4 linked regions of the Caenorhabditis elegans genome follow. The protein of the gene in region 4 purifies or fractionates together with the protein of the main gene of each other region. This does not show direct contact. Each region holds a gene or a part of one and is shown on either strand. Other genes may lie near its edges. The genes, in order: npp-3, ZK353.9, erfa-1 and gfrp-1.

Region 1 (7,694 bases), on a different chromosome or scaffold from region 4:
TGGAGAAAAAGTTGACGGGGGCGAAAACGGAGAAGACGTTGAGTAGCGCAGTACATCCAGACACAATTCGCTCACTGGCGCTTTCCGATAAGAGACTTGCGTTAATTTCAGCACAATATTCAAGGACTCCTTCCATCTCTTTTTGTACATATTTCATCTCGCCTGATTCCGTATAGACTGTCTCAATCTCTCGTCGTAATAGTCGGTTCAAGTAGAGAACGTCATATTGTGCAACGCCGTAGATGTTCACTGTAAGGCATGCGTCAAAGAGTTCGTGAAGTTTTGCCACATCGAAATGCACGAGATTCGGGTAAAGTAACTCGTTCTTTCGTGGCACTGTGGCTCGTCGGATCAACGAGAATAGCAAATTCGCCTTGTCATTGCTTCCGGAAGCTACTGGAGCCATATCTTCATCATCGTCGTCTTCTTCCATTTGAGTATATTCAGCAACAAGAGATGATGATTCCAAGAGTGCACGATAAAGCTTCTCAGGTCGAGAAAAGTGGCCAGTAGTGAGCATTGCCGAAATTTCGACGGCGGCGAAGTGAAGAATGTAACCAACAATCATACGACGAACAGCGAATACACCTTGAGCATATGTATTGTCGCGGGCACTTTCCAGAGTGAGAGCCGAACAGATGAATGGAGATGTTGTCAATTTCTCGATAATATTTGAAGATCGCATGAAGCAGAGCACTGGTTTAGAGAATGGGCACGTGATCGAGACAAGTCTTTGCTGAAATAATTTTATAATTTTTTATTGAATACATTTAGAAACAGACCATCAGCCGGAATGCAGGCTCTAGTAGCGCTGAGAAAGGTAAATCGAATGGTTTCTTCGACATCACAAATTGCTCGATAATATACAGAACATAGTGAAGACCGGTGAGCACGTCGTCCGCTTGATACAGCTCCTTGGTATGGGCTTTTGATGGTCGGAATGCGAGAAGGTAGTAGCAAATATTGTTGGTATCAGTCAGACGATTTCCGGTTCTTGTTACTTGGCAATCGATGGCGTCCGAAAGAGTTTCGATGAGAATTCGAGCGGTTTCTCCTCTCGCGAAATGTGGATTATCTGTGTCTTCTTCTGAAATATAGATAATAATTTAAAATTCAAGATTATTTATATATATTATTTAAAATTTCAAACCTTTCGCCAATGAATCATCAATCGTATACTGAATCGACGTAGCGCAGATCGCCGCTCGAACCGCCCGAACATGAGATGCAGCCGAGTTTCTGGATCTTAACAACTCGAGCATCTTCACCTCGGCAGCTCCACGTGTAGCCATCACGTCTCGAAGAATTCTGGCAGCGTAGAGAGAGTGTACCGGGTAGTCATCAGTCATATGAAGGTAATGGAAGACGAGATCAAGAGGTGTGCAAGCGGAGGCTGAGATGATTGGTGAGAAGACGAGGGATGGAATGGAAGCGATCATAATATCACTGGATGAGACACGGGCACACGCACGAAGAGCCGGATGCAGAATTATTGCTCCTGGAAAAAAAATAATTAGGCCTGAATATTATTACATGTAATGTTACAGCATTTGAAGACGGTGTACAGGCTAAAAATGCCAAAATTTAGGGAAACATTCGATAATTCTAGCTAAAATCTTCAGTTTTGACTTATTTTCCGTGCTGCAGGAATCGAAAACAGACATTTACTCGATTATTGTCTTATTTTTACGCACTTGATGCGTTTTACTCACGCTTTTAGTTGATTTAAAGCTTCAAATCAACGAGAAAGTGTAAGATAAACGGCAAAAATAAGCAAAATAGAACACTCATTGAATAAAAATAAGTATCAAAATTGTGGATTTTAGCTGAAATTACGCCATTTTTCAACATTTTGAATCGCAATAAAAAAATTTCGAGCCATTTTTTTAAAGTTCCATCATGAAATTCGATATATTTGAGGCCTGAAACTCACGTGATAAAATTCGCAGTGCAATCAAAGCTGCATCGGATGATGGAGACTGCCGTGTGACGTACGGATCATTGTGAGCTTGACAATCCTCCATAATAACCCGCGTGATCTGAAATTCGATTTTTTTTTTTAAATAAAATTCAATAAATTCTGTGACTTACAGCTCTGTACATCGGCGTATCATTGAGGCACTGCGTCAAAATGGCAATATGAACTTCGTTCGATGCCACGGCTCTCGGCTCGACGATTCCGTGCTCGAGAAGTGCGTTGGTGGCTCGGAGCGACCACTCGGCGAGCTCCCACATTTGAACAACGCTATTATAGCTGCGTGTGGAGAAATGTGCCAAAATACTTCTGGTGACGAATTGGATGAATGGTGTAGCGTATTCCGGTAGAGATCTGTGCATCAGAAGGGTCGTCATCAATTTCACAAAAGCTAACGACACATCATATTGCTTCGCGACACATTCTCGTTCCTCGAGCTCCTGCTGGATTCCCATTAGTGTTCCACCATCCGAAGAATAGCACAATTGATTCAGATGAATTGCTTGCCAAATTCTCGGTGCGGATCCTTTGAGCCGTGCCACTGCCGTCAGCAAATCAAGCATCGATGCTTTCATAGATAGCGGTACTGGAGAAGTGGAGAGCGATGCGACAACAGAACACAACGTCCATGAAGGATCATCCGAGAATCGCATAGCGGCTCGTTCATTCAATTGAGCAACTTTTGTAGCCATATGGATCCAGGCTACTAGTCCGCTGAGCTCTTGAGCTGGGATGGTGATTTTGTCGCCTGGACGAAGTGTGAGATTGAGGCTTTGTTGTTGGTGGAAGCTGGTGCTCATACTCATTGTCTGACTTTGATTGTGACGAGAATTCGACGCATACTTCTGCTCCCGGTACAAACGATCGTAGCCTTTGAGTGCTGAAGCCAGAGATTCCCATCCATATGAATCTGGTCCACAATGTTCTTTGGAGAAGATGTCATAAAGTAGAGCAGCTGTGTTCTCATTTTTGCATACAGCAGCGCACATTTCCAGATAAGCAACTGAATGAACAACATGATGGTTTGGAAGACGAGCACGTTCCAGGAGCCGGCAGAGCTCAATCGATCTCTCCGTACTAAAAGCCATGCTGTTCTCTTCGATTTGCTCCTGAAGCTCTCGTTCGCGTGCTGTTCTCGCATTCTTCTGATGTGCATAGTCGGTCACTTGCATCTCGTATAAATCCACAAAGCATCGAAGGAAGTTCTCATATTGTGATAGAGCCGAATCATAGTTGTTCGATGGATCTGTAGAGCTCAGTTGAGCTGTAACTTTGTCCGTTATGTGGACTGTTTGGCTTTTCGGATCCGGTTTTTGAGTCGTTGATTGTTCCTTTTTCTGATCATCCAGGAAGTTCAGCTCGTCTGTAGAATTTCTTTCAGTCTCCATAAGCTTCGCGGGGAAATATGAAATCAGCTGTTTCAGAAGCTCATCAATAATCATAAACTGATGGGCATAACGGAAGTGTTCCGACTTGATGATCGCTTGTCGCAAGTAATGAAAAGCCATATTCCGGATAGATCGATCGATGACTCTTTCCACGTCCACCTTGATATTCTCGATCCCTAGATGATCTGATGGCGATGAGGCAATCGATTTCAGAGCAACAGCGCATGCTAGCTGTAGAGTTCCGCACATTGCTTGATCCGACCAGTCTGTTTCATTCCGAATGTGGGCGATCATGTTTGTGAGCACTTGTTGAGCATCGTGAACTGTAAACTCTCAAACAGATTTGTAACTGGATTTTTGGGTATAGGCATGAAGATGGAGTAGCGAGAATTGCTTTAGAAAATCGAAAATATTCTCGAATACAGAAAAACCACAAAAGAAAAACAGAAAAATCGCTACTCCATCTTCAAATATTACCTTGAGACAACACTTCACTCGATGTGATTTTAACGAGAGAAATCCAGGCTGTCAAGCTACTACAACTGAGCTTCTCCGGTGGAACTGCCTTTACAATTTGGAATAAATGATTTGAAATCGAAACTGCGTTTCCTCCCGGAATCTCACAGATCATCGAAATGCAACCAATTACTTCACTTCGAATCTCCTCAATGGCATTTCTGACCTGAAATTAATTTTATGAAAGAATTCCAAAATTATAATCAATTCGGTACCAATTTCTGATGTTTAGAGCCTCCTAAACCGTTGACATCTGGAGATTGAAGTCGTGCAAATTCTGATTGAACGGTGAAATTGATTAGTTGTTCTGAAAATTGGAAAAAAAAATTAGTAATATTTATGATAATATAATTTTTTGAAAACCCACGAAAAAGGTTTTTGATCACGTCCTCGTTGATGAATGTGCTATTGAGGAACTTGCTGATACGTTGAGGAATATCCTCTCGGTCCCATTTTAGCATTTGGCGCATTGTTGCGATTAGGAGCCTGTGCGCATCATAGTAGCAAACGACAGCGATTAATCCTCTGTTGAGGCCTTCGAAATGTATTTTTTGAGCTTCTCCGGCCAAAATCAAATCCACAGCTTCCAGCTCATTTAATTGAAAGATATCCGACAAAATGAGTGCTTCCGAACAGATTTCCTCGTCTAGCGCAACTTCCACTCCTGCCATTTCCACATTTCCTGGCTTCAGCTTTTCCCGATCTTTACCCGTTCGTCTCTTCAATTAGAAAGGTTTATTACACTAACATCAGTCGGAAAACATACCGGATTCAAAAGAATATTGCTCAATCGCCATCTGTATTTCTCGATTTCGTTGAACAGCTCGTTTATTTTTCGGTCGTCATCGAAAGCTGTGAAGGAGACGATGAGTTCGTAAAATTTACGAATCTCAATCCACATTTTGAGCTCTCTAAAATAAATAAAACATTATTTAGAACAAAAAGTTACTTTTTTTGAATTTTTTCGCAAAAAAATTACACAACTTCTATCTCGCAATGCATTTCCGTAAGAGACGCAGACACAAAAACTAAATTTCGTATTTCGAGGCTACAACTACGGTAACACTCGTTTCAGCTGTGTATTTTTCGCGCGTTCGCTGCGAGACCCGACGCTCTTAGGCCGCCAATTTCGAATCGGACGCTCATTTTGGCGCGCTCAGTTGTTTTTTTGTGCGCTCTCTAGCCGGCTGTCTTGCATCGATTCAGTGTTCAGTGTCCAGTGATGTCCACTGGTGTGCTAGTTCTTTTTCTCTTCACTCATTTTTCTTCGCATCCTCAAGTTTATTGAATATTCACCGCGTTTCTTTCTCTCTTTCTCCCGATCGTCCTAAAATTAAATGTCATCTTTTTCCAGATCTCTAACAATGAGCGACTCTGATAGTGAATTCTCTATCGAAGATTCACCCAAGAAGAAAACCGCACCAAAGAAGGAGAAGGCGTCACCGAAGAAAAAGAAAGATGATGGTTGGTTAATTTGTAGAGTTTCTTGAATCTAATTTGCTTCTTTTCAGCCAACGAGTCGATGGTTATGACTGAAGAGGACCGCAATGTGTTCACGTCGATCGACAAAAAAGGTGGTGGCTCGAAACAAATGGCGATCGAGGATATCTACCAAAAGAAGTCCCAACTCGAGCACATTCTTCTTCGCCCGGACACCTACATCGGTTCGGTCGAGCATACCGAGAAGACGCCGATGTGGGTCTACAACATGGAGGAGAGCAAGCTGGAGCAGCGTGACATCTCATACGTGCCGGGACTCTACAAGATTTATGATGAAATTCTTGTGAATGCCGCTGACAACAAACAGAGAGATCCGAAGATGAACACAATCAAGATCACCATCAATAAGTAAGTTTAGACCGTAGCATAAAGGAATTTAATTTAATTTTGCTTTCTTTCAGGGAGAAAAATGAGATCTCTGTCTACAACAATGGCAAAGGAATCCCAGTCACTCAGCACAAAGTGGAGAAAGTCTACGTCCCAGAGCTGATTTTTGGAACTCTTCTAACATCTTCTAACTACAATGACGATGAGAAGAAAGTGACGGGAGGACGCAACGGATATGGAGCAAAGCTTTGCAACATCTTCTCCACAAAATTCACTCTGGAGACGTCTTCACGGGATTACAAAAGTGCATTCAAGCAAACGTGGATCAAAAACATGACGCGTGATGAGGAGCCGAAGATTGTTAAGAGCACCGACGAAGACTTCACGAAGATCACATTCTCGCCGGATCTGGCAAAGTTCAAGATGAAGGAGCTGGACGATGACATCTGCCATTTGATGGCTCGGCGTGCGTATGATGTGGCTGGATCCAGTAAAGGAGTCGCCGTGTTCCTCAATGGAAAACGAATTCCAATCAAAGGATTCGAGGACTACGTCCAAATGTACACTTCGCAGTTCAACAATGAAGGAGAACCCCTCAAGATCGCATACGAGCAAGTTGGAGATCGTTGGCAAGTCGCCTTGGCTCTTTCGGAAAAAGGCTTCCAACAAGTGTCATTTGTCAACAGTATTGCTACCACAAAAGGAGGACGGCACGTGGACTACGTGGCTGATCAGATGGTCGCCAAGTTCATCGACTCGATCAAGCGGAAGCTCACAAAGACGTCGATGAATATCAAGCCATTCCAGGTAAATTTCGTCGAATTTAAAATATTTACCGCCAATGATGACTCAAAATAGCTATATGAACTCTTTGGTGACTCGATAATAAGAGAAATCTGAAAATTTTCAAGGTTTTTCTAGAGATTTCACCGATTCTTTTGAAGTATCGGTGCACCAAGTGAAAAATAAAATTGCGACGCTTTAGTGACGCTGGAGAAAGTTTTTATCCAGTGTCTAAAGGCGCGGCGCAACATTTTTAAACTTTCCGATGATTTGTGATTACTAAAAGGCGAATCTGAGGCGAGGAATTGCTAATGCGAATTCAAATCTAATAAATTTTCCAAATATTCAATTTTATATCAAAATTTTCAGATCAAAAATCACATGTGGGTTTTTGTGAATTGCTTGATCGAAAATCCGACATTCGACTCCCAGACGAAAGAGACTATGACCCTGCAGCAGAAGCAGTTCGGATCGACCTGCGTCCTCAGCGAGAAGTTCTCCAAAGCGGCTTCAAGTGTTGGAATCACCGATGCTGTTATGAGTTGGGTTCGCTTCAAACAAATGGACGACCTCAACAAAAAGTGCTCCAAGACGAAGACTTCCAAGCTGAAGGTAACAATTCATCTAATTCGTGGCCTTGTTTTAATTAATATTTATTTCAGGGCATTCCAAAGCTTGAAGATGCCAACGACGCTGGAACCAAAAATTCCCAACAATGCACATTAATTCTGACGGAGGGAGACTCGGCCAAAACGCTTGCTGTTTCGGGACTTTCAGTCGTTGGACGCGACAAATATGGAGTATTCCCACTTCGAGGAAAATTGCTAAATGTCCGAGAAGGAAATATGAAACAAATCGCCGATAATGCTGAGGTCAATGCCATGATCAAAATTCTGGGACTCCAATACAAGAAGAAGTACGAGACAGAAGATGACTTCAAGACTCTTCGATACGGTAAACTGATGGTCATGGCTGATCAGGATCAAGACGGTTCACACATCAAAGGACTCGTGATCAATTTCATCCATCACTTCTGGCCTTCTCTCATTCAGCGGAACTTCGTAGAAGAATTCATCACTCCAATTGTCAAAGCCACCAAAGGAAAAGAAGAAGTTTCCTTCTATTCGCTCCCAGAATATTCTGAGTGGAGAATGAATACGGATAACTGGAAGTCGTACAAGATCAAGTACTACAAGGGATTGGGT
Region 2 (7,797 bases), on a different chromosome or scaffold from region 4:
TTTTTTGAAATAATGAATTTAGAATAACTCTGTAATCTATTTATTTAGTATCTGGAAACAGATATAATGTTATTTTTTCAGTTTCATGCTTTCTCTAGAAAATATCAAATCTGGTTTTAGCTTTAACAACAATTTATTTGGGAGGATCAGTGCTTGGCACTCCACATATTCGTTATAAGCTCTAGATATTTTTAGACTTTTTGTTAATATTAAAAGAAACAGTTGTTCAAATAAATACAAACAAATACGCACTATGGTTACATTTCCCACCATCTCTATCTAATTGAATTTTTTCTCCAAGCAATGTTTTGGACAGATATGCCATTTTGAAATAATGTTTCCAAACTAGGCCAAAGGGGCCCGTAAAGTCCGACTTAAATTGTTTACGAGCATTTTTCTGAAAAAAAAATTATCTGAAAGAAAGTTTTCCCCGAATCTAATGCCATTGTGAAGTGTTTTGAGAAAATTGGAACACTTTCTAACTAATTCCAAAGATGTGTAAGTTGTCGGAAAGTATGTATGTACAAGATGACTATCACAGAAATTTGATAAGCAAGAAAAAAGGCACTCCTCTAAATATAGCTGATGAGATGTGTCTCACATAATAAGCTCCTCGCGTCATCTGCTAATTAGGCATCAAAATAGTTTTTAATTCCCAATTCGTAAAACTCAACTTTTCCAAATGTGTAACTGCTGACATTTGAACACAATTTTTGTATGTGTACACAACTTTGTAGTACTTTGTGAGTCACAAGGGGACTTTACTTCAAATGGAACCCAACGGTAACCTTGAATGATACAAAAGTTCTGATTACAAGGGCACGTTCTGTACAAAAACATATTCCATAACTGTAAATATTTGAATCGTAGTTTTTACTTACTTACTGTGTAATTAGAATAACAGATTATGAAACTATATTAAAAGGAGTTATTTTTAAAAATTATATGAAAAGTCTAATTCGGAAAGATTAAGCTTTTATTTCTGAATAACTGTTGCTATCGAGACTTTTGAAATTCAATGGGTCTACCAATTGCTTGAAACTGTACAATTTATCAAGTGAAATTGTGGTTCATTGATGTTTTCAAAAGATATCATTGTTCAGGATCCATATGAAAAACGCCGGCAAAATATCTCGCCGCGAGTGTATTGTAGGATACGGTAAATTTCGGTAGAATGACGGAAAAAAAGGGATTGTCCAAGCACGAGTGGCTATTTGACTTGAATGGTCTTGGAACACACACAACCGGAGGTTGATAAAGTTTTTCAGACTTTCAGTTCCTTCTACAAAATGAAAAAATTCCGATTCGTTTAGCTAACAGTCTCCACAAATATTTTTCAATCGCAGTAGCCACTTGGGATTTCGGTTGTTCTCGAGTCAGTTCTTGGATATTTAGGGATAATTAGTTTCTCGATGAAAATCTTATCACGAATGTCACATACAACATTTATATGGATCATTTCAAACGGCTGATAGAGAAGTGTCTTTAAGGTTTTTCCGGGATGCATTTGTGTGTGCCTAAGGCCTGAACGCCTAATTGCCTGCCTACTGCCTAGATTCAGAATTTTCGGATGTTAGCACACCCAGTCTCGACACGATAATTTTTTGCGAAAATGCGTGCTTCTTTATTTTTGAGGTTTTCAATGAATTAATATTTCTGATCGAAGAACTAGTAACAATCGATGAAAATTCTGCAACGATGAGAGTTTGAAGTTACAGTACACTTTAAAGGTGCGTATATTATTTTATCAAAATGATGGCGTGTCGAGACCAAGTACAGTATTTTTGGGGCCAACATCGCTACATTTCGATAAACTTAACATGTCTTTTAAAAACTACCGTAACCCAATACGATATTATACAACGATAACGCGTACTTTCTCAACCAAAGAGATAATGACGTGGCATTATTACAGTATACCAAATTCCTATTATGATTCATGCATCCTTTATGTATTGTTTTGTACAATTCTGCCTTTGTTCTGCGTCTCTTCACAATTGACCAATCCTTGTTCATTCCATTGAATTCATTTCGCAACAAAAAATGTATGCTTCTTCCATTTTTTTCACCCTCGCGGCCACCGTCTTTTTAAGTGTAGAGGAGCGCACTTCTGCGTCTCTTCTCCAATAAACACTATTTCAGTTTCCCGCTCACATTCATTCGTTCATAAATATATTGTGAGAGAAAAAAAGAAATGGGAGGAGAGAAGTGTATGTGTGCGTATGTGCCCCCCAGAGGGTTGTCATTTTGTCGTCAAAGGGTTACTGCTGGGCGTTGAAGATTGAAGATGCAGATGCCCGTGGAATGGATTACGGTAGACGGAAGACAATTGAGAGAAATAATTTACTTCAAAGAAGAATTTGAGGGACATACTTTCCGACAAATGTCGTGTATTGTTACAATTTAAACATTTCAATCGAAAATACTGGTAGTCAATATGAAACCACGTGGATTGATTAACACTAACGAATTCACAAGTAATCAATAATTAATTATTTTAGAAAAGTCCCTTGGCAACAGCATCTGGAATCTCGTTTTTATGATCTTTGAGTTGAGCTCTTGATTCGTATGTGGCAATTGCAATCTGAAAATTGGTTTTTTTCCGAGGCGACAAATTAAAATTCTGTAAAAGCCAGATGTGCAATTTTTACACCAAAAATACAGTACTTGGTCTTGACACGACGATTGTTTGTAAAATGTGAAATGGTGTGCGCCTTTGAAGAGTACGGTATTTAAAACTTTCATTTCTTCGACGTTTAAAAAAATGTAAATTTTTTTAAAAAGTTTTTCAATAATAAAAATTTTAAATCCAGAAAAATCAATAAAACTTTCTGCAGTATCTAACAAGATTTAAAAATTACAGTACTCTTTTAAGACGCACATCTTTTCTCCTTTCACAAATTCGTCGTGTCGAGACCCATTGGTGAAAAAATATTTCGCGTCTGGCTAATATTCAAATTTTTCCTTACCCTTTGTCTGAACTCGTGCTGAAATTCTCCACGTAATCCGATATAGTAGATCTTTGTCTCATCTTCTCCAAAGTTTGCATCTACCAAAATCGATAGATTATGAATATTTCCAAACTTTGAAGCTTTCAACGGATAATCCACGAGTCCTTGTGGATCTTGTTTCAAATCAATTTCCTGATCTGCCTCAATACTACAGTCATCAAATGACATTGCCTCTCGATCTTTGAACAATCGAATTTTGGCTGGATGTGATCCATCTTCGTCTCCGATTATCGAGAGACCCGTTAGACGAACGTGTCCGGTGAATGGAATATTGAATAGCAACTCGTGATCGCAATCACTTTCTACGTATTCCAATCTGAAATTTGATTTTTAAGAGTGTATATGTACGTGTATACTTTTCTTTCTCTGGACATTGGGGCATTAGTTGACAGATTAGTTGTTCAGGTTGTTCTATTGACAGATAGAAAGACAGCTGTCAGCAATTTGATACAATAAGTACTTAAGTTTATCTTCATTACGAAAAAGTATTTAGCGAACCTTCAGAATACCTAGTTTAATTTTAAAACTTTAACATTACCATATGACTTATTTGTTTTAAATAATCTAAATTATGTGGCTGCGTGGCGGGTACGGTAGATTACTGTAAGATCGCTGCGAGATGTGATTAAAGCTGAGTCCCATATTACCCGGACGCGAATTTTGAGATTTTTAACAAAATACGGTACACGGTCTCGACACGACTAAATTTTTAATGCGAAAATGTGTGCGTCTTTAAAGAGTTAGAGAGTACTGTAGTTTCGAACGTTCGATATTGCGGATCTTCATAGATTTGTCATAGTTTTTTTCGGTAAATACATTTATATATTTAATAACTCAAATATAAACACATAAATTTGAACAAAACGTGAAATAAAAACTATGTTGATAAAAATTCGACAGAAATGAGCGTTAGTCTACAGTACTCTATAAACTCTACCGTACTCTGTAAATGCGCACATCTTTTCTCATTTGGAAAATAATTGTCGTGTTGAGACCGGGTACCGTATTCTTGTCGCCAAAATTACAAATTTTCACGTCTGGGAATTTAAGTTTATACCAATTTCTGTGAGTAATACTGAAGAGTTGTCAACTTTTTCCGATTAGCCACTATTTCGTAGACATAAATAATTTTCAAAATACTCCCCATTACCACAATACTCTTTAAAATGGAATGTTTTATCGTCGGAATAATCCTATATAAAAATGTAATCCTCATGTACTAGCTAACCTGTCATCTCTTTTTTCCATCACCTTGAAAACCTTCTTTCCGGCGCCGTCGACTGACTCGTTGAGAGTAGTTACCTGAGAGAATTGGTATCAATTTAATTGCTGAATTGAATAATAAAAACGTTGACAGCGGATGGCATTTCTCGCGATGCGTTTTCCTAATTTTGTGAGATTGTAGGGAGAAGTTACAGTTAACGCATTTTAAATTTAATTTTTATTTTAATTTCGAACAAGAATATTTAATTAGTTCTTGAAAAACTATTCCTGTTTTTTTCGATACTCAGAATATTTATATGTTTCATCTTACAATGCATCTTTCAATTATTTATTTATGGGTACGTAGAAAAAAGCCTCTTTGGCATAGAGGTGCAAGCGCGCTCCAACACTAAATAAATACGCTCCGCCCCCAAACATTGGGTCTCGTTAGGTATCTTCGGGAAAACTTTAAATTCGAACGTTTTAAGTGTGTTTTTGCTGATTTCAATCATTTTTGTTTTTTATGTTTACCTTTTCCATGTCAATATAGCTGACCATATCGTAGCGATACACGTCATCACCTGGAACTTCTGGAATGTGCTCTGCGGCACAATTGTGAGAATGACCATGTGAACACATCTGGACAAAAAACTATTTAAACTACTTTTGAATAAATGCCAAGTATCGGTATTTTTCAACCATCAAATATTAAAACACTCTGAAAAAGTTTTTCAGAAAACAATTTTACTGTAATCGATTCAAATGTATCTATTCAAAAGAGGACATGGGTTGATCATGGTGATACAGAAGTATTTGCAGATATTTTGTAATACTGGAGGGATCGAAAGAAAACAAAGAAAGAGAAAATGAGATTTTCTGAGATAGGTATTGAGTCAATTAAATAGCCAACAAACTTCTTTTTTTGAAAATACAAGCAATTTGAGAAGGAAAACAAGATGGGGTTTGTCAAAGGAAACGAATTTAGCCGTATTCAAGATAAAACGATAGTGTGCAGAGAAATAATTAAGAGAATAGCAAAGGAAGAAGCAAAAACATTAACAGTTGACAAGACATACAAAAGAAACATTATGGCGTTTTCAAATTATTATGCATTGGGGTTGACTGGGGCAGGTTGAAATAAGTTACATGCGAGAATAAACTGTAGCGGTTTTGGAAATACCTTCTCTTTTAACATTCTTGAAATCAAAAAGAAGGCAAATCCATTGAAACTACAGAATTATAAATATTACAATAAATTGACTGAACAAAATATTTAAATTAGAAAAAAAAATGTCTACGAGAGAACAGCCGGATGCTCAAAGACAAGATGTTCAGCTGACCGGGCACGCTTTGGAAGCGATGATGATTGAATCTTATCCTCGAAGACACGGCTCAAAGCCTGTAAAATTGTTGAATAAGAAATTGGGAAGAATTTAAAAAGTTTTTTTCAAATGTTGAAACTTTCAGAATTATTTTTTCGAGAATAAACAGCACATTAAAAATCATGTTTCAATCTTATTGCATACAAAGGATATTACTATTTGACAATTTTTCTTTGTTCTTATTTTCTTTTTTTTTATATGTTTTTCGATTTTACACAGAAAAAAAAAACGCAAATTTTCGTATTTTTTCGATTTATATTTTCAAATTTTTTTTTTTAATTTTGACCATTATCGCTCTTTTTTGAAAATAATTTATGTTTTCTTCTCATCAACATAGACATAATTCGATGAAAAATTCATTTTTTCTGTTAATTTTCAGAAAATATTTTTTTCGATTTTTCTATGAAAATTTTTCAATTATTCCAATAGACTAAAATATTAAATTTTGAAAAAAAATTGCAAAAAAAACAGAAAAACATCAGAGACCCCTTTGATCTAAAAATTGACATTTCTTTTTGTTTATGCAACAAAAAAATAATTTTTTTTGGTAATTTTTAACTTTTTCCCCGAAAATCAATTGTCAAAAAGGTTACCTCTAATCTTTGCGCTCTCTCCTTATACAACGGTTGAATTGGTAATTGTAAATCATTTGCAAGTGCCAATGTTCGAAGATCGAAATAATACTTGGCATACACCGACGACGGAACTTCAATATTAAAGTCGAGACATTCCAAAAACCGCCGTTCTAATTCGTTCCTGAAATAATTTAATTACGGGGTTTCTGACCAAATAAAAAAAATACTTACATATCGTCAACATTTGTATCTCGAAGAATTTGGCAATAATCAACATTCCAAACAGCTTGATCATCCCATACTTTTGATGCCAACATGATTGAACCGAGTACAACCCGACGCCAATTTGAAGGACACAAATCCATTTCTGCGTAATTAAGCAATCGTTCGATGTACACCTGAAAAAATGGTTTTCGCGTTTTTATACAAAATTGATAAATTTATTAAAGAAAAGAGAAATGCGTCGGCAGCAGAAAATCAAAATTGGGTAATTCAACTACGATAGCGAAAAGTTAAAATATTACCAGTGCGTGAATTTTTTGCGCTACAAATACAGTACATGGTCTCGACACGATAAATGCGGAAAGGTGTGCGTCTTTAAAGATTACTGTAATTTCAAACTTTGGATCCCCGACATTTTCATAATTTTTTTTCTAATTTTCTCATGATCTGTTAAAATTTATGTAGTTTTTAACAAATCAATATTTTTCATCGGAAAAATACGAAAAATCAATGAAAATTCCGTAGTCGAAAGAATTTGAAATTACCATTTTTTTTCATAGAAAAACTTTGTTTTTTTTCAGAAAAAATCTTTAAAAAAGAAGAATAATGGCCAAAAATTTATAAGTTATTTTTTTTCGAAAATTAGATTTTTTAATGTCGGAAAAACGAAAATTTTAATTTTTCATTAAAATCGAATAACGAAAATTTTTGAACCTTTTTTGGCACAAAAATTGCAAAACGTTGTGTCTTTTTAATATTTTTTCAATAGAACAAGGCGAATCTTCTACACAAATACATTTTTGCCAAATCTCATGATATTCATTTAAAAAGATTTTAACCGAAAAAAAAACTCACCAAAGTAATAATAGCACATTCGGCGGTCAACTGCGCAGAACTAAACAGATTTCTGACAAACCGATAAATATTCCGATGATCAGGATCCCGTGTCATTTGCTCTGGAGGTATAGGATCTCTCTGAAAAATCTTCGAAAAATGTATGGAACTTATGGATTGATTGATAAAACTTACGAAAATCGGATGAAGTCGTTCTTCGAAAATCTCCATTAGTCGCTCGTGTCCACGATTTTTACGATTTGAAATATGATAATATATTGCAAGAGAAATGCATTTTATTGTATTCTTAAGATGAGGTTGACTGACTGTTGAATCATCTAAAATTTGAGAAATCAGAGAATGTTTATGAAATCTTTAATTACCAATATAAATAGTACTGCAGCTGCTTGATTTACGCAGGCTTCTGGGTAAAATTCCGGGATGATGACCACCAGCTGCCAATGCATCCAACATATAACATGAACGACGATTGTCTTTTACTGGAATTGATAAGAATAGATTCAAGGATTAGAAGAAAAAGAATTTTACATTTCATTTCACTTTTACTTC
Region 3 (7,668 bases), on a different chromosome or scaffold from region 4:
TATGTTAGAAAAAGGTTTACTATTGTAGTCAAATACATGAACATTGAGAATGGCGATGAAACTAATTAATAACACAGAAAGTAGTTGGGGATCCTGATTGATCTAGAAGAGAAGACGATTTGCTGGGTCGTATTCGAGCTTCTCAAGGTTCGGAATGCAAGCAAAGTTGATCATTGGTGGTGGTCCGCACAAGAGAACAGCAGAATCATCGCCAGGTGGGAAGAGGTTTTCCTGAAAATAAATTATACAATTTCAGAAAACATGTTTCAGCTTTTTTTCTCACCTTGATCATGCTGTCATTGATGAATCCAGAGGAATAGCTCCACATCACTGGTGGTCTATCGACTGTATACCATACACGGAAACGAGTTGGATGCTCCTTTGCAAGATCGTCAAGTTCCTGTCTGCACAGAATATCGTCCTCAGTCTGATTTGCAAACAAAAGTCTGATCTGAGTGGTGTCAGTTGGATCACGAAGAATGGCAGCAATGACTTGAAGCATTGGTGTGATTCCGGTTCCTCCAGCAATCATGGAAAGATGCTTGAAAACTCGATTCTTCGGCTCGGCCTTCTTATCGGCTTTGATGCTGAACAATCCGTGACCTTTGTAAACAATATTTCCTTGTGGCCCGCGGAAATTGATCTAAAAATTCGAATTCAACAAAAAAACTCGAAGGTAATGTGAAAATATATTACCGTGTCTCCAATCTTGAGGCTCTCCAAATGTTGACTCATTTTTCCACCTTCTGGGAATTTCTCATTTGTGTTCTTGAAGTAAACCTTCACCATCAAATCAACGAATCCTAGATCTTCATCGCTGGATACTGGAGTATATGGGCGAACGATAATCTTTCCATCAATCTGAAATGTTAATATTTATGATGAATGAAGGATCTGGAAAGTTCACATTTGCGGTGAGGTAAACGTGTTGGCCGATTGGAAGCCCAAGAATATGATCCTTCGATGGTAATCCGAATCGGAATTTTCTCGTGTCATGACTGATCTCGAACTTTTCAATCAACGGAAGTGGATACTTGACAGAATCATCGACAAGAGTTCGTTTCTTGCTCTGAACAAAAAAAATTATTAAAATAACCGCGAAAAACAAAAAAAAATCAAATTTACCTTTTTACAAAGTGAGAAGGGGCATGTATTTGTTGCTTTCAAATAAATGTAGATAGCAATACTCGAAACTACGACCACTCCTCCTGTGATTATGAGAGTGTTATTCTCCACCATTTCTGAATAGATGAATTTATTAACAAATTGCAGTTGAATAATTTCAATTTAAAAAAAAGGCGACCGTTTCGATGCGCCCACTCTCCCAGTAGTTCTTTCTCATTTTCACGTTTTTCTTGCGTTATCAATCAATACCTGATAAGAAAATCTCTCGCCATTCTATTCGGAAAACTGTACTTTACCACAAAGTCACAATTCTGATGTATAAGGAAAATTGAACCGTTACAACTTTTACAAATAATTGTTATTTTATAAATGCTTTATTTTTAACCAACATATTTATCAGTTACAGTCACCGATAATACAAAATTGATTCAACCACATACTAATTTGAATTAAGAAAAATAAAATAATGGTTTAATTCTAGGTATTTCCAAAACAAACTTTAGAAAACCTAGAAAAACCCATAAATTTGACAATTAAAAGTCATTGGAATTGCGAGTAGAAACATCCACCGAAGGAAGCGAAAGGGTTGAAGTCATCGAGTGTGAGTGTGTCGCCCGTGCCTCTACCTGAAAAAAAAACTTGTTTCAAATAAAGTTTACGACTACAACTTTAGTTGTAGCGTGAAAACCTAGTTAATTTAACAACAACAACAAAAAATATCACGATCAATATTAGATATTTTTAAAAGAATCATGATAAATCAGCTCACCTTTGTCCGGTTGAACAAGCCGCCAATAGCATCTTCGTTCCGGGCGTGGAACGTTTCTTTTTCAGTATGCTGGCAGACGTGAGATGCCTTGCCAGCTGAGCTAAAAGCATCAACAGACCAAACGAAACGACAGTAGTGAGGGACACGGGGCGCAAACTCGATGAAATGGAATAGAAACTTAGAATAAAGTGTGGTATGGGATATAGCAATTAATGATGATGATGATTGAGAAAGGGAAATATTATAATTTGACAATGCTGGATAATTTATGAAGAGATTGATAAAGAAAAAAGAGGATACAAGCTTAAATAACAAAAGAAACGAGTATGGCGCCCAATGGCTCACTACTGCCGCCCGTGATCAATAGTCATCAAGGTCAATGTTGTCGAGCTCGTCTTCAAGGTCTACATGAGCCAAGTCAACGCGATAACGGAGCAATCCTCCGATACCTCCGAATCCTCGAACAAACTGGGCTCCTTCTTGCGACTTATCTGTGACGATTTCCAAAGCTGCTCCGAAGTTCTACAAAACATTAATAAAAAATTAAATTTCGATAAAGCGAGCGCCCACCTTGTAGTTATTAGCAAACCATTCCAAAAGTGGCATAGTCTCAATAATTTCCATATCTTGTCCAGTTTCACTGTCGGTGAAATGAGATTTGTCCTTCTCCTCGTCAGGTCTCAGATTCAGAAGAATGTCCTCTCCGAGTGAATTTTTCATCTTGTACCGAACAATATCCAAATTCTCCCAGCAGATGAGAGTTTCAATAGCTCCCATTTCAAGTGCGGCAAGAGTGTCTTTAACTCCGAAAACGTATTTTCCAGTGTCTTGGCTGATTTCATCGAAATATCCACCAATCAGTTTCTTTTCCTGAATGAACTTAACACTTGCCAGCGTATCGGCAGCAAGTTCAATAGCTTGGTTGAAACCATTTTCACCACCATAAGCAATATCGACAGTCTTGATCATCTTGGCTTGAAGTCTTTGATCAAACATATCAGATTGTCCCAACTCTGTCTTGAAATCTGCACTACCAGCAAGAATAAGTCCAGCAACTGTAACCTTGTCGTTCTTGATAAATTGTTCCACCGAATTTTCAGCTACTTTACGGACGTAATTGTGCCGCTTCTCATTACGGAGACGAGCAAAACGGACAGCAGATTGACCTCCTCTACCGTGCTTCTTTGGAAGATCGACAGTGAACTTGTGCAGAACTTCACGAGTGTTTCCTTGGAGTGTTCCGAACAGACAACCGTTTCCATCCATAATGATAAATCCGAACTTGTTATCGTCAGCAAGAAGACCTGAAAAATGGTATATTTTATGATGCATGATGAAAATTAGAAATACCTTGAAGAGCTTCGGTGTGAAATTTGTTGTCGCAGAGATACAATGAAGTATTGATTGCTTTGAATGGCTCAAAATCAATGTTAACTTTCTTTTCCTTTCCTTCGTCGGTCATGATTGTTCCACAGTAAACGACCAATCCATTTGGTGGGACTTTGTTGTAGAGTTTCAATCTTCCCTGTACTGATGTGATAGCTCCCAAAACGGAAAGTCTGTTGACACGAGACTTGATGTTAGATGCCGTTCCGTACTCTTCGGCCAACATTCTCTGGATTCTAGCCACTTGATCTTTTGGTGGAATGATCAGCGAAATCATAGAAGTTCCATTTCTGTAAAAAAACAAATGTAAAATAAACGCTTCACGAAAATAGTTACCCTCTGGCTAATTCCAAACTTTTGATGAGCCGTTTAATTTTCCACATTTCGACATTTCTATCGGCGGCGTCATCGCCTCCGGCGGTAGCACCTGCTGCGGGAGCGCTCATATTCTATTTGTGCTGCACGTCACCGATTACCTGTAATTGTATTATATAAAACACGAAAAGAGAGTTAAAGTAATTAATTCGGGGAAGAAACTCAAAAATGCGAAAAAAAAGATATTTATAGAGAACTGGTTATTCTACATTGCACAGAGTTGTGATGGAAAATTAGAATATTGTGCAACATGTTGCAATGGTTTCAATTTGATTTTTTTAGAAGAAAATGTATTTCGTTTTCTCTGAGCAATGACAAAATGATGAATAAAACATTTCTGAACAATTTAAACTGCAAAAATCGATAATTGATGACGCGTAAAAACTTTAAAAACTGAAAATGGGAAAAGAATTTAAATGGTGCCAAGGAACACGAATACGGTTTGTGGAAGGGTCTCGGCGCGAAGTAATGTCCGATTGTCCACACTTTCTCCGCGGCCTAGTCTCCGAAACAAGTCAGCCACGTCCTCAATGTTCGAAATTCGAAAACATTTTTCAGCTTTCATCAGAACTCCAGGACTGTTTCCAGAATTTATTAGTTTTTTTCGCCAAAATATTATATATGTACCACGGCAGTTCATTATATTGGTTGTATTACACGTTTCTTTTCGTTATTAACTCTTTTTTTCCCGTTACCGCCTAATAGATGAAAACGAATTTCAATAATTCTTTCAGATCACCACAATGGATGATAATACGGCTCCAAAAAAGAATTCTGAAAAGAAGGCACGCGTCTTTGACCTCCAAGCAATGTTCGCGCAAACGATAAGCAATGCTCCCAGAACTGAGGAACCAACTCACGTTCCGCAGTCGGTATCGGTGTCTTCTAAATCAGAATCTGGTGTTTCTTCTTCAGCTGTATCTGATGATGAAGATGGTAAGCCGAATATAATGTTTTAATTATTTCAAATTTGTTTTTTCCAGATTTCATGCCAGATCTACCTCCAGGATTCCAAATGCAACAGTCTGAAGCGGGCCCCTCCTCGTCTCGAGCTGAAGGTCCCGAAGATAGTGATGATAGCGATTTTGACGAGACAGAAGCAATCTCCATCATCAAACTGATTCCAGCTGCATGTGAAGCGAAGATCAGCCATGGCACTCAAGCCATCAGTGCACTTCGGGTTGAGCCTCCTGGTGTTCGGTTTGCCAGTGGAGGGCTTGACTATTACGTGAAGCTGTTCGATTTTCAAAAAATGGACATGTCAATGAGATACGACAAAGAGCTTCTGCCTGCAGAAAGTCACGTTATCAATTCCCTGGCATTCTCTCCGAACGGCGAAACTCTTGTAGTAGCTAGTGGAGAAGCTATCATTCGCCTACTGGATCGAGCAGGAAAACAATGGTCTGAAACAGTTCGTGGAGATCAGTATATTATTGATTTAAACATCACTAAAGGACACACAGCAACAGTTAACTGTGTCGAATTCAATCCACTAAACAAGAACGAGTTTATCTCTTGTTCTGATGATGGAAGTCTACGACTATGGAACCTCGATGATCATAAAGTAATCACCAAATGCATCAACAAGCACAGGAAAGTCATCAAAACAAAAGGAGCTAATGGAAAACGTGTCAGCCCGCAAGTTTGCACGTTTTCTCCTGACGGAAAATGGATTGCCGCCGGTTGTGATGACGGATCTGTTCAAGCATGGAAGTATGGATCGCAATATGTAAGTTGAAGTTCAAAAACACTGTTTATTCTCATATTTTAATTTTAGGTCAATGTAAATTACCTTGTACGCAAAGCTCACAACGGCTCGATTACTTCTATTGCTTTTTCGCCCGATTCAAAGAGATTACTGTCTAGAGGTTTTGATGACACTCTGAAGATGTGGAGCTTAGATAACCCAAAAGAGCCGCTTCTTGTGAAAACCGGTCTCGAAAACGCTTTCAAAAGGTATCCTTCTATTAAAAACTTCACCATAAGTATATTTTTTGTAGTACTGATTGCGGATTCTCCCCTCGTGCCGAGGTTGTCTTCACTGGTACATCGTCACCCAACAAGGATACACCTGGAACATTACAATTCTTTGATCCAATGACATTTGATCTTGTCTATAAAATTGATTACCCTGGAATTTCGTGCCACCGAATTCAGTGGCACCCGCGATTGAATCAAATTATCGCTGGACTCTCGGATGGCACCATTCACGTGTACTACGATCAAACGATGTCACAGCGAGGAGTTATGTCATGTGTGACGAAGCCACTCAAAAGAAATCGCGCATCTGAAGTTGTTCGAGAAGATATGGTTCTTTCTCGTAAGTTAAACAATTTTTTTCGAAAAATATTTATCTTCATATTTCAGCTCTTTCCCTCGAAATGTTCCAACCGCGCGGAGAGGAAGGAGAAGAAAAGGAAGTCACTGGATGGAGAATCAAGAAGTATCTCCGAATGCAGGATAACAAGCTTCGTCCCGAGTTCCGGAAGCCTGCAGATATGCCTATCAACGGAAAGAGCGCAAATGGACGTGTGGCTGCAAGTGGTGGAAGTCTTCATTCGTATTTGGCAAAGCAAATCGGAACTGCTCGTAATGCCGAGTTCCTAAAAGATACCGATGTTCGTGCAAGCATCCTGAAACATGCTAAAGACGCCGAAGAGAATCCATTGTACATTGATAAAGCGTATCGAAAGACACAGCCAAAGAAGATTTTCCAAGAAACTGCAGTCGAGCCAGAAGATCAAGATGACGAAGAGCTACAGCCTGTCTTCAAAATGCCGAGAACGAAGTAGTCGTTGCATTAATTTTTTGTTTTTCATCTGTCTGTCTCCCTCTTGTAATATTGTTTTCCTATTTTTTTCTCTATTTTTTGTGTCCCAATAAATATAGAGTCAATGATCACATGATGTTGGAGAAATTGTGTGTTCGCCATAGTCATTGTCTTGTCCAAATATCTAACGCTAGCTACACTCTAGCATGCTGCTCACTTCTATCTTTCCCATTCTTCCAACTCCCCCCCATTTCAACAATATGTGGTCGTTTGTGTCAGTGTCCGGTGGACGATGGCTACACTTTTGCCGCAAGAATTGTATCCAATCGGGATCAGGTTCACTTTTAAAATTGAACCCGGTTCGGATGTTTCGCTTTTGATCTCCTAATCCAAAAACCTGAAACTGTATTTTTAAAAACGTTTCTATTATGGATTTAATTCCAAAAATTGAGAAAACTATATTTAAAGAAGAAATTATTGACATGGCCTCCATTCCATTTCTTTCTTATCATACATTTTCCCACAACTGATACCATGTGCAGCCTATTCAAAGGGTCACTTTTTGCTGAAGTGTGTAGAACAAACATGCAATCCGAAATTACAGTTCCACAACTGTTTACTCTACAATTTCCTTTTCACATTTTCTTCCTGTTTCAGTGCCGAGAAATTGTAGCTAGTAGCAAACAAAACAACGCCGTGAAATTTCGTCCTTGAAGTTTCCCTTTCCCTCCCGAGAAACATCCAAGTTCTCGACGGTTATATCGATAATTATCTTCTTTTTGGTCGAACTTTCTGTCTGTTAAAATAATGATAGGTTACGGTTGAAAACATAAATCTAACATTTTTTCGAGATTAGACTTGAGATCAATCTATAAAATGAGTCAAGTCGTATGAAGTTTCATCTACATACTTGACCACAAGTTGATCACTGAATTGAACTGCGCCTAGATCTCACACTATACCCGAAAACAATCTCCACCCTCCCAATTAAATAGAAATAGTGACATCATTCAAACCTAACTAACTTTGTAAAATGTCTATTGTTTTTAGATTTGCGTAAATTCTTATACTGAACGTATTTTAATGTTTCAATGAGTTGTATACATCTAAATTGTTATAGACAAAAACGTTTCCAACAAATCATCATTCCAAATTTCGGCAGTTGATAACTGAAACTTAGATTTCATCAGTTTTCTAGACTTCAATTTCACGAAATATTTTGCTAACGGCGATTAAAATATTT
Region 4 (6,926 bases):
TTAAAAGATATTTTGAATTTAAAATTTTTGTAAAAACGGAAAAAATGAACAAAAAAGTTTTTTTTTGCAAACAAAACATAACACTATTTCCTACCAAAATTGGCAATTTTTTTTGAAAAATTCCAAAAAACCAACCCTACTAGTAGTTTTATCCACATAATTATGAAGTCTATCCGATAATTCGACACTTCCAATTGAGATCGGTGCTCCAATTGCTTCCTAAAAAGGTAAAATTGAGGAAAAATCGATATTTGTGCGGGGAGACGGCAGTAGGAAAAGAATAAGAAAGCGACGACAGAAATCCTAATTAGAGCTCTCTCGCGGAGCCCGAAGATGAGGGGGAGTGCTCACCAATGCTTTCGGATGTTCCATAACAATTTTGAGGCTTTCGTTGTAGTGTGGCAATGCTCTAACCTTCCATTGAACTGATTTTTGAGCCAAATAGAGTCCCGTTGAGCCCATTACGAATACACCGGCCGCCACTTTTACTAGAGTTGATGATTGAACCTGCAATATAATTTTTTTTTCTGAAAATCAGTGAAAAACTTATGAAATTTAAAAGAAAACCCCGTTTCTTAAGAGAACATCGAAAAATATAGTATTACCGGTACAGAGAGTGTAGATAGTTAGAGAGTGACAGACATCCGGGACCCAATGGGGCGGGGCGCGCGGAAGAGACGATCTGTGTCGATTTACGAAATGATGACAACGAGGAAAATTTCGTAAATCGACACAAATCGTCTCTTCCGCGCGCCCCGCTTCATTGGGTCCCGGATGTCTGTCACTCTCTAACTATCTACACTCTCTGTACCGTTAATATTTGAAACAATTAAAAAAAAACCGGAAAATTTTTCACTTTTCTAAATAATTTTTTATTTAATTTGAAGAATTTCTCATTCTTAATAAAGCCTTTTAAAGTGTATTCGATTTTCCGACAATTGAAAAAAATCTTAATATGTTAGTCATTTTTTCCAGAAACATAGCAAATCTATAATTTCCGGCAATTTTTTATTTTTAAAAAATTTGAATAATAAATGTTTTTAGCCTGTATTTGTTTGTTAATACCCATTTAATATGAATTTGAATTTTTTAAAGAAAAAAACCGAAAAAACACCATTTTGGTTATAGGTCATAGTATATGGTATAGGGATGGGAGGCGAATCTACAAAACGGCCCATTCGATATGATAACTCAACTTTAAAAAATAAAAATAAATGTAGAAATATAGAAAAATATCTTATTCGTTTGAAAAGAACATGCATTTCTAAAAAAAATTGAAAAACTAGAGAAAGAGTGCGGAAATGGGTGAAAGTTAGCATTTGTCAGAAAAATTCGCCGAAAAAAGTTCTGCGAATTCTTTCGGCAAATGGAAATTTTCAGGCAGTTTTTGAGACTATGTTTAAAAGTTTCAATAAAGAAGAATGTTATTTTTAAACAAATAAGATATTTTTCTATATTTCTGTACATTTCGCCGCCCACCTCTAATATGGAATATGAAGGGCCTCTCCACGACCCCTTTGACCCCGGAGGAAACGGAACCTCCCCTAAATGAAAAACCTGGACTACGGATTTTTGAATTTGCACAACAACAACAACAACATGGTATATGGGTTATGGTATAGATACATTTATGACGACACAACTGTATTAAAAAACATGTGTGAAGATGTATTTTAATACATCTGTGACGTCATTTTGCAGTTTTTGAGACTTTGTTTAAAAGTTTCAATAAAGAAGAATGTTATTTTTAAACAATCATTTTTCTACACTTTCAATTTTCCAATACTATTTGAATAGCCCCATTAGGCTCTTTTTTTCTTATTTTTTTTAAAGATTTTTTTGTAAAAAAAAGCTGTAAAGCCTCACCATTTCTTAAAAACAGCTAGCTTGCTCCCATCTGCAGAATAATATAGTAGATTTAAAATTCTGTAAAAAATCGAAATTAATTCTGATATGCGTTAATTTGGGGTGCCAGGTGTCAAAAATCCCTTTAAAAATTCCTTTAAATAGTAGGGGAGAATGAGGAAAATCATAGTTTATCAGGAGAAAAATTTATAAAACGGGAGCCAAAAAAACAGCGACGAATCAAAAATTCATTCCATTTTCTTCTTTTTCGTCGTCACATTTATATAAAGTCCAAGCACAAGTTTGTCCGATTCCAGCCATAGCGACCACTGTCCATCCCTCTTTTTCCAATTGGTTGAGCACTTTTCGTGGCGACCATTTTGTTATGTATTCCTACAATTTTTCGTGGAGGCTTTGCAGAAAAAATCGCTCACAATCAAGGGTGTCAAGTCCCGTGTCCCGTTTGTCCCGTTTTTAAAATTATCACGGGAACGGGACGTCCCGTTGTCCCGTTTTTTTAAATTTTTACGGGACATTGACACCCTTGCTCACAATCAGGAAATTTTAGGTAAAACACACTATTTAATGTAACTTAGTAAGTAAATTTCTCTTAAAAATTCCGAATTTTCATGGAAACTCGCAGAGAATTTTCAGAAATCAAGATTTCAGAAGAATCCAGCACTTTCCGATTTCAGAATCGAAATTCCTGATTTTTGAGCGGATATTTTTTTAAAAATAAAATCGCAAATTTTCGTGAGACCTTTCTCAGAGTTTCTCAGGTAGAAAAACTAAATTTGCAGTGTTATATGCAACAGAGAATGTCGAATTTCCAGATTGAAAAATTACATTTTCAGTGGAATTTCGACTAGAAAAGGTGAATTTCCAGTGAAATTTCAGCTACAAAAGCTGATTTTTTTGTGGAAAGTTCAGCTAGATAATCTACAAGTTCAGTGGAATTTTCAGCTAGAAAAGGCGAATTTCCAGTGAACTTTCAGCTAGAAATTATCAATATTTATAGGAATTTCAGCCAGAAAATCCACATTTTCAGAGGAATTTCGGCTAGGAAAGGCGATTTTTCAGTGGATTTTCCAGCTAGGAAATCTCGATCTTCATAGGAATTTCAGCCAGAAAATGCACATTTCCAGTGGAACTTCGGCTAGAAAAGGCGAATTTCTGGTGAAATTTTGGCTAGAAAAACCGAATTCACAGTGGAATTTTCAGCTAGAAAATTCACATTTTCAGTGGAATTTTGGATGGAAAAACCGAATTTTCAGCTAAAAATTCCACAATTTCCTCAGAACACACCTGAAACTCATTTCCCAACTGCTTGGTGAGCTTCGCCTCCAGTGTTCCCATCAGTTTCGGGTCACTTTCTCCGTCGCCGACCATAGTTGGACCACACTCCATTCGGATTTGTGTAGAAATTAGAATATACGGCATTTCTTGATTTTTTTGTTGCGGAATAAGGTTCAATCGATAGACAAGTAGACAAGAGAGAACGAAGTAGAAGAAGCAGGTTTTTGTCTCGATTTGTCAGAAGAGACGTCGTCGGGTGGAGGGGTCAGAAGGTTGACAAATAACGATAAAAATTGAGAAGAAAGACGGAGAGATATGGATGATAAGATGAAATTGAGAAAATGAAATTGAAATAATAAAATACAGGATGTGGTACAATTATGGTAATAGGACCTGTTGTTCGAAATTCTTGGATACCTAGGAATACTGTTATTACGGAAACACAAAATTCTGAGAATGCGTATAGCAAAAACTACAGTAATTCTTCAAATGACTACTGTAGCGCTTGTGTCGATTTACGGGATAAATTTATTTCATTTGATTCTTAAGATGAATCTGTATTATTTTCTCGTTTTTTGCTTAATCTTAATAAATATTCCATCGATAAATAAATTGTTTTAATTCATTTTGAAAATCGAGCCCGTAAATCTACACAAGCGCTACAGCAGTCATTCAAAGAGTTACTGTAGTTTTCGCTACGGGATATTTTCCGCGTCAAATATGTTGTTCAATACGCGTTCTCAGAATTTTGTGCTTCCGTAATATAAAAAAAAAGATATCGCTAGTTTTTTTGAACACTAGATTTTTTTCTAATCATATTGGGTTATTCAAGTAATGTCGAAAATTGTTTTTTTAAGTGTAGAAAAATGACGTCACAGCTGTACATTAAAACATGTATTTTAATACATCTGTGACGTCATAAATGTATCTAAATACATGTTGACACATTACTTGACTAACCCCATTACACAGTGTATTTTTTGTACACTTCTACGACTTTAAAGGAGGGCGCATTTATTCGAAATGGTCCCACCACGCGCTTCAAAAATTAAAGAATGGCACGTGACGAGACCATTTCGAATAAATCCACCCTCCTTTAAAGTCGTAAAAGTGTACAAAAAATACACTGTATGCACAAATTAATGTCGGTATACTGAATCATGAATTTCTGGGTGATATTTGAAAAAAAAAGAAAAGCCTTCAAAAGCTTTTCTGACACCTGGCACCGTATTTTAAAAATAATATTTGAAATATAAAATAAATTTTGCCCAGGACACGCCCACAAAATGGTTAAAACTTTGACTTTAAACATTTTTGTGAAATTTAAACAATTCCTTAAATTCCCGAAAAATGCACAAAATTTTAACTGTAAAAAGCAGAATAAAAAGTAAAATTTCGGCCAGAACCATTTGAAAAATCCGATAATTATCGTGCAAATTAAATATAAAATATGTTCATTTTGCAGTGATCAGAACAAATGATGTTTTCGGGAATAATGAGAAAAATGAATATTTTGATGTCGAAAACGTCGAAAAAAAAAGGGACAAAAACCCGGAAATAAATGAATGAGAAAATGTGTGAAATTTAGGAGAAAAATTTAGATTCAGTTGGTGGCATGCTCAATCCTTCATCCTCATTGTACATAACTGATGGTCTCATACGTCCTGAACCGGCTTTCATAGTAGTGTTTTTCTCGTGAAGAAGAGTGTTCAGGTGATCGACGCTGGAAAATTATACGGTTTTTGGGGAATTTTTTTGAAAAAAAAATCAGAATTTTCAGATTTTTTCCTTTGGGAAAATTAAACTTTTTAGTTGAAAAAAAAAACGCGATTTAAAAAAGAAGTATTTTCATAAAAATGAAACTAGGCAATTTTGGATTTTTCCGAGCGTTTCTTTCAGATTTGGCAGACAATTTTATTAAAAAATCGAATTTGCTGTATTTTTTCAAAGTTTTCCGTCAAATTTCCAGCTTTTTTTTTAGAAATCGCACAATTTTTTTCAGATAGAAAAATTAGATTTACTACATTTTACAATGTTCTTGGAAGAAATAGAGGTTAAAAAGGAAATCTGTCAGAAAATCAACAGAAATTACTTTTTTTTCGCAGAATTTTTGCAATAATATGAGCGTTTCATTTCAACCGATTTTTACTGCATATTTCGGAAAAATTAAAATTTTTTAATAATTTTTTTCCCATAAAAGTGTGAATTTTTAGAAATTGTTTTCCGAATTTTTTGTTAAATTCTTTTTTAATTGGTTTTATTAAGATTTTACTGAAAAACCAAATGTTCAGAAAATCGCGTTTTTTTTTAAATATAAATGTAATTTTCCAATTTTCGATTTTTTTGCAAATTTTTGGTAATATTTTCCTAAATTAATTGGAAATTGAAAAATTTTCTGAAATTGCCGAAAAAAATTTATTTCTCCGGAATTTCTATCAGGATTGTTTCAAAAAATGGAATTTTTCTGGTGGTTCCATATGAATTTTCGAATAAAATTTACATGGTTTTCAATTTTCGGCAAATCGGCAAACCGGCAATTTGTTGGAAATGAAAATTTCCGGCAAATCGGCAAAATGCCGATTTTTTAAAAATAAAAAAAATCGTCATTTTTCGAGTAATTCTATCAGATTTCTCATATTATTTTCTCTCAAAATATCCTTCAAAACTACAATTTCTCGGTGATTTGGATCAAATTTTCGCCAAAGATTCAATTTTCTTTCAATTTTACCCACATTCTAATCTTATTCTCAACATCATTTTTAGATGGAACAGGGCTCAATTCAGTCCAAAAGACCATATCTCCATCAATTCGTACAGTAATCCTCTGCTCCTCAACCAATTGACCAATAAGCTCTGTAACTTGATCCCGTGACTTCAAAAATGCCAACTCCTCAATTTCAGAAATCCGAATTGATGTGAACATTCTTGTCAGCGACATAATTGTCTTTTTCTTCATTTCAACGACCAAATATTTGGCAATTTCTGTATTTCCGTCTTTTCTCAAACGATCTTTTGCCGATTTCACAAGACTCTCCACTGCTGAATGGGTATTCGAACTTCGGGAGAACCGAATCTCTGAGAATTGTTTGTATTCAGGACTTTTGGTTTTGAAGTGACGAATCGCTGATTTGTCACCGTTTTCCGTCACGTCCACTTTTCCTTTCAGAATTAGCGAAATGAGCACATATCTGCAAAAAATTGGGGATTTTTTCTAGGAAAATGTGATTTTTTACAGAATTTTATTGGAAAAATAGAGATTTACGCATTTTTGTAATTTAAAGCGAAGAAATGAGAAAACTATTTTGCAAAAAAAAAAACGCTGAAAATTCTTTTAAAGGTGAACTACGCTCAGTGGGAAAAATGCTTTAAAACATGACTATGGTACCACAATGACCGAATATCATGATAAAAAAATTCAAAAAAATTTCCCTGAATTTATATGATTTTTGAAAATTGAAAAAATCTCAGTTTTCCCCTAATTATTTTTGAATTTCCGCCAATTGGATTTGTTCGGTGGAGCGCGCTTGCATTATTTTTATTAATTAATTTCATTTATTCTCGTTATTTGACTGATTTTCTTCATTTTCTATGTTTTTTCCTCGGAAAATGGAAGAAATAAACAGGACAAATGCAAAATGTTTGTTAAAAAGTAATTGAAAATGCGTAAAACTGTGATATTCTGAGTTCCGACGACGAAGCTCCTGAGATTAGTATATTTCACAGTTTTACGCATTTCCAATTACTTTTTAACAAACATTTTGCATTTGTCCTGTTTATTTCTTCCA

Evidence for each region.
Region 1: the proteins of gfrp-1 (region 4) and npp-3 fractionate together in Caenorhabditis elegans (co-fractionation; one large-scale study listed by BioGRID). This does not show direct contact.
Region 2: the proteins of gfrp-1 (region 4) and ZK353.9 fractionate together in Caenorhabditis elegans (co-fractionation; one large-scale study listed by BioGRID). This does not show direct contact.
Region 3: the proteins of gfrp-1 (region 4) and erfa-1 fractionate together in Caenorhabditis elegans (co-fractionation; one large-scale study listed by BioGRID). This does not show direct contact.

The regions. Positions count from the first base shown.
Region 1 is NC_003280.10:11,869,914-11,877,607, forward strand, and holds the start of npp-3 (Nuclear Pore complex Protein), read right to left. Parts: upstream 4,876-7,694; 5' UTR 4,781-4,875; coding exon 4,646-4,780; intron 4,599-4,645; coding exon 4,247-4,598; intron 4,187-4,246; coding exon 4,095-4,186; intron 4,046-4,094; coding exon 3,841-4,045; intron 3,687-3,840; coding exon 2,092-3,686; intron 2,040-2,091; coding exon 1,934-2,039; intron 1,499-1,933; coding exon 1,151-1,498; intron 1,088-1,150; coding exon 783-1,087; intron 737-782; coding exon 1-736. Other genes in the region: DNA topoisomerase 2 top-2, read left to right, coding at 5,244-5,343, 5,391-5,727, 5,781-6,513, 6,859-7,101, 7,152-7,694.
Region 2 is NC_003281.10:8,406,552-8,414,348, reverse strand, and holds ZK353.9 (PITH domain-containing protein ZK353.9), read right to left. Parts: upstream 4,854-7,797; coding exon 4,746-4,853; intron 4,314-4,745; coding exon 4,240-4,313; intron 3,328-4,239; coding exon 2,970-3,327; intron 2,585-2,969; coding exon 2,498-2,584; 3' UTR 2,332-2,497; downstream 1-2,331. Other genes in the region: cyy-1 (Cyclin-Y), read right to left, coding at 5,509-5,613, 6,190-6,352, 6,403-6,569, 7,249-7,368, 7,423-7,565, 7,611-7,727, 7,777-7,797.
Region 3 is NC_003283.11:6,430,218-6,437,885, reverse strand, and holds erfa-1 (Eukaryotic peptide chain release factor subunit 1), read right to left. Parts: upstream 3,757-7,668; 5' UTR 3,727-3,756; coding exon 3,617-3,726; intron 3,571-3,616; coding exon 3,245-3,570; intron 3,199-3,244; coding exon 2,465-3,198; intron 2,417-2,464; coding exon 2,255-2,416; coding exon of another isoform or gene 1,895-2,254; intron 1,752-1,894; coding exon of another isoform or gene 1,659-1,751; 3' UTR 1,488-1,658; downstream 1-1,487. Other genes in the region: hpo-19 (NADH-cytochrome b5 reductase), read right to left, coding at 103-231, 284-643, 697-861, 908-1,069, 1,126-1,239; gad-1 (Gastrulation defective protein 1), read left to right, coding at 4,399-4,591, 4,639-5,384, 5,433-5,611, 5,656-5,975, 6,023-6,447. UniProt on the Caenorhabditis elegans protein: Directs the termination of nascent peptide synthesis (translation) in response to the termination codons UAA, UAG and UGA.
Region 4 is NC_003282.8:200,241-207,166, reverse strand, and holds gfrp-1 (GTP cyclohydrolase 1 feedback regulatory protein), read right to left. Parts: upstream 3,566-6,926; 5' UTR 3,286-3,565; coding exon 3,151-3,285; intron 2,239-3,150; coding exon 2,086-2,238; 3' UTR 1,905-2,085; downstream 1-1,904. Other genes in the region: coa-1 (Cytochrome Oxidase Assembly subunits), read right to left, coding at 136-219, 352-507, 1,867-1,869; csn-3 (COP9 signalosome complex subunit 3), read right to left, coding at 4,726-4,864, 5,874-6,329.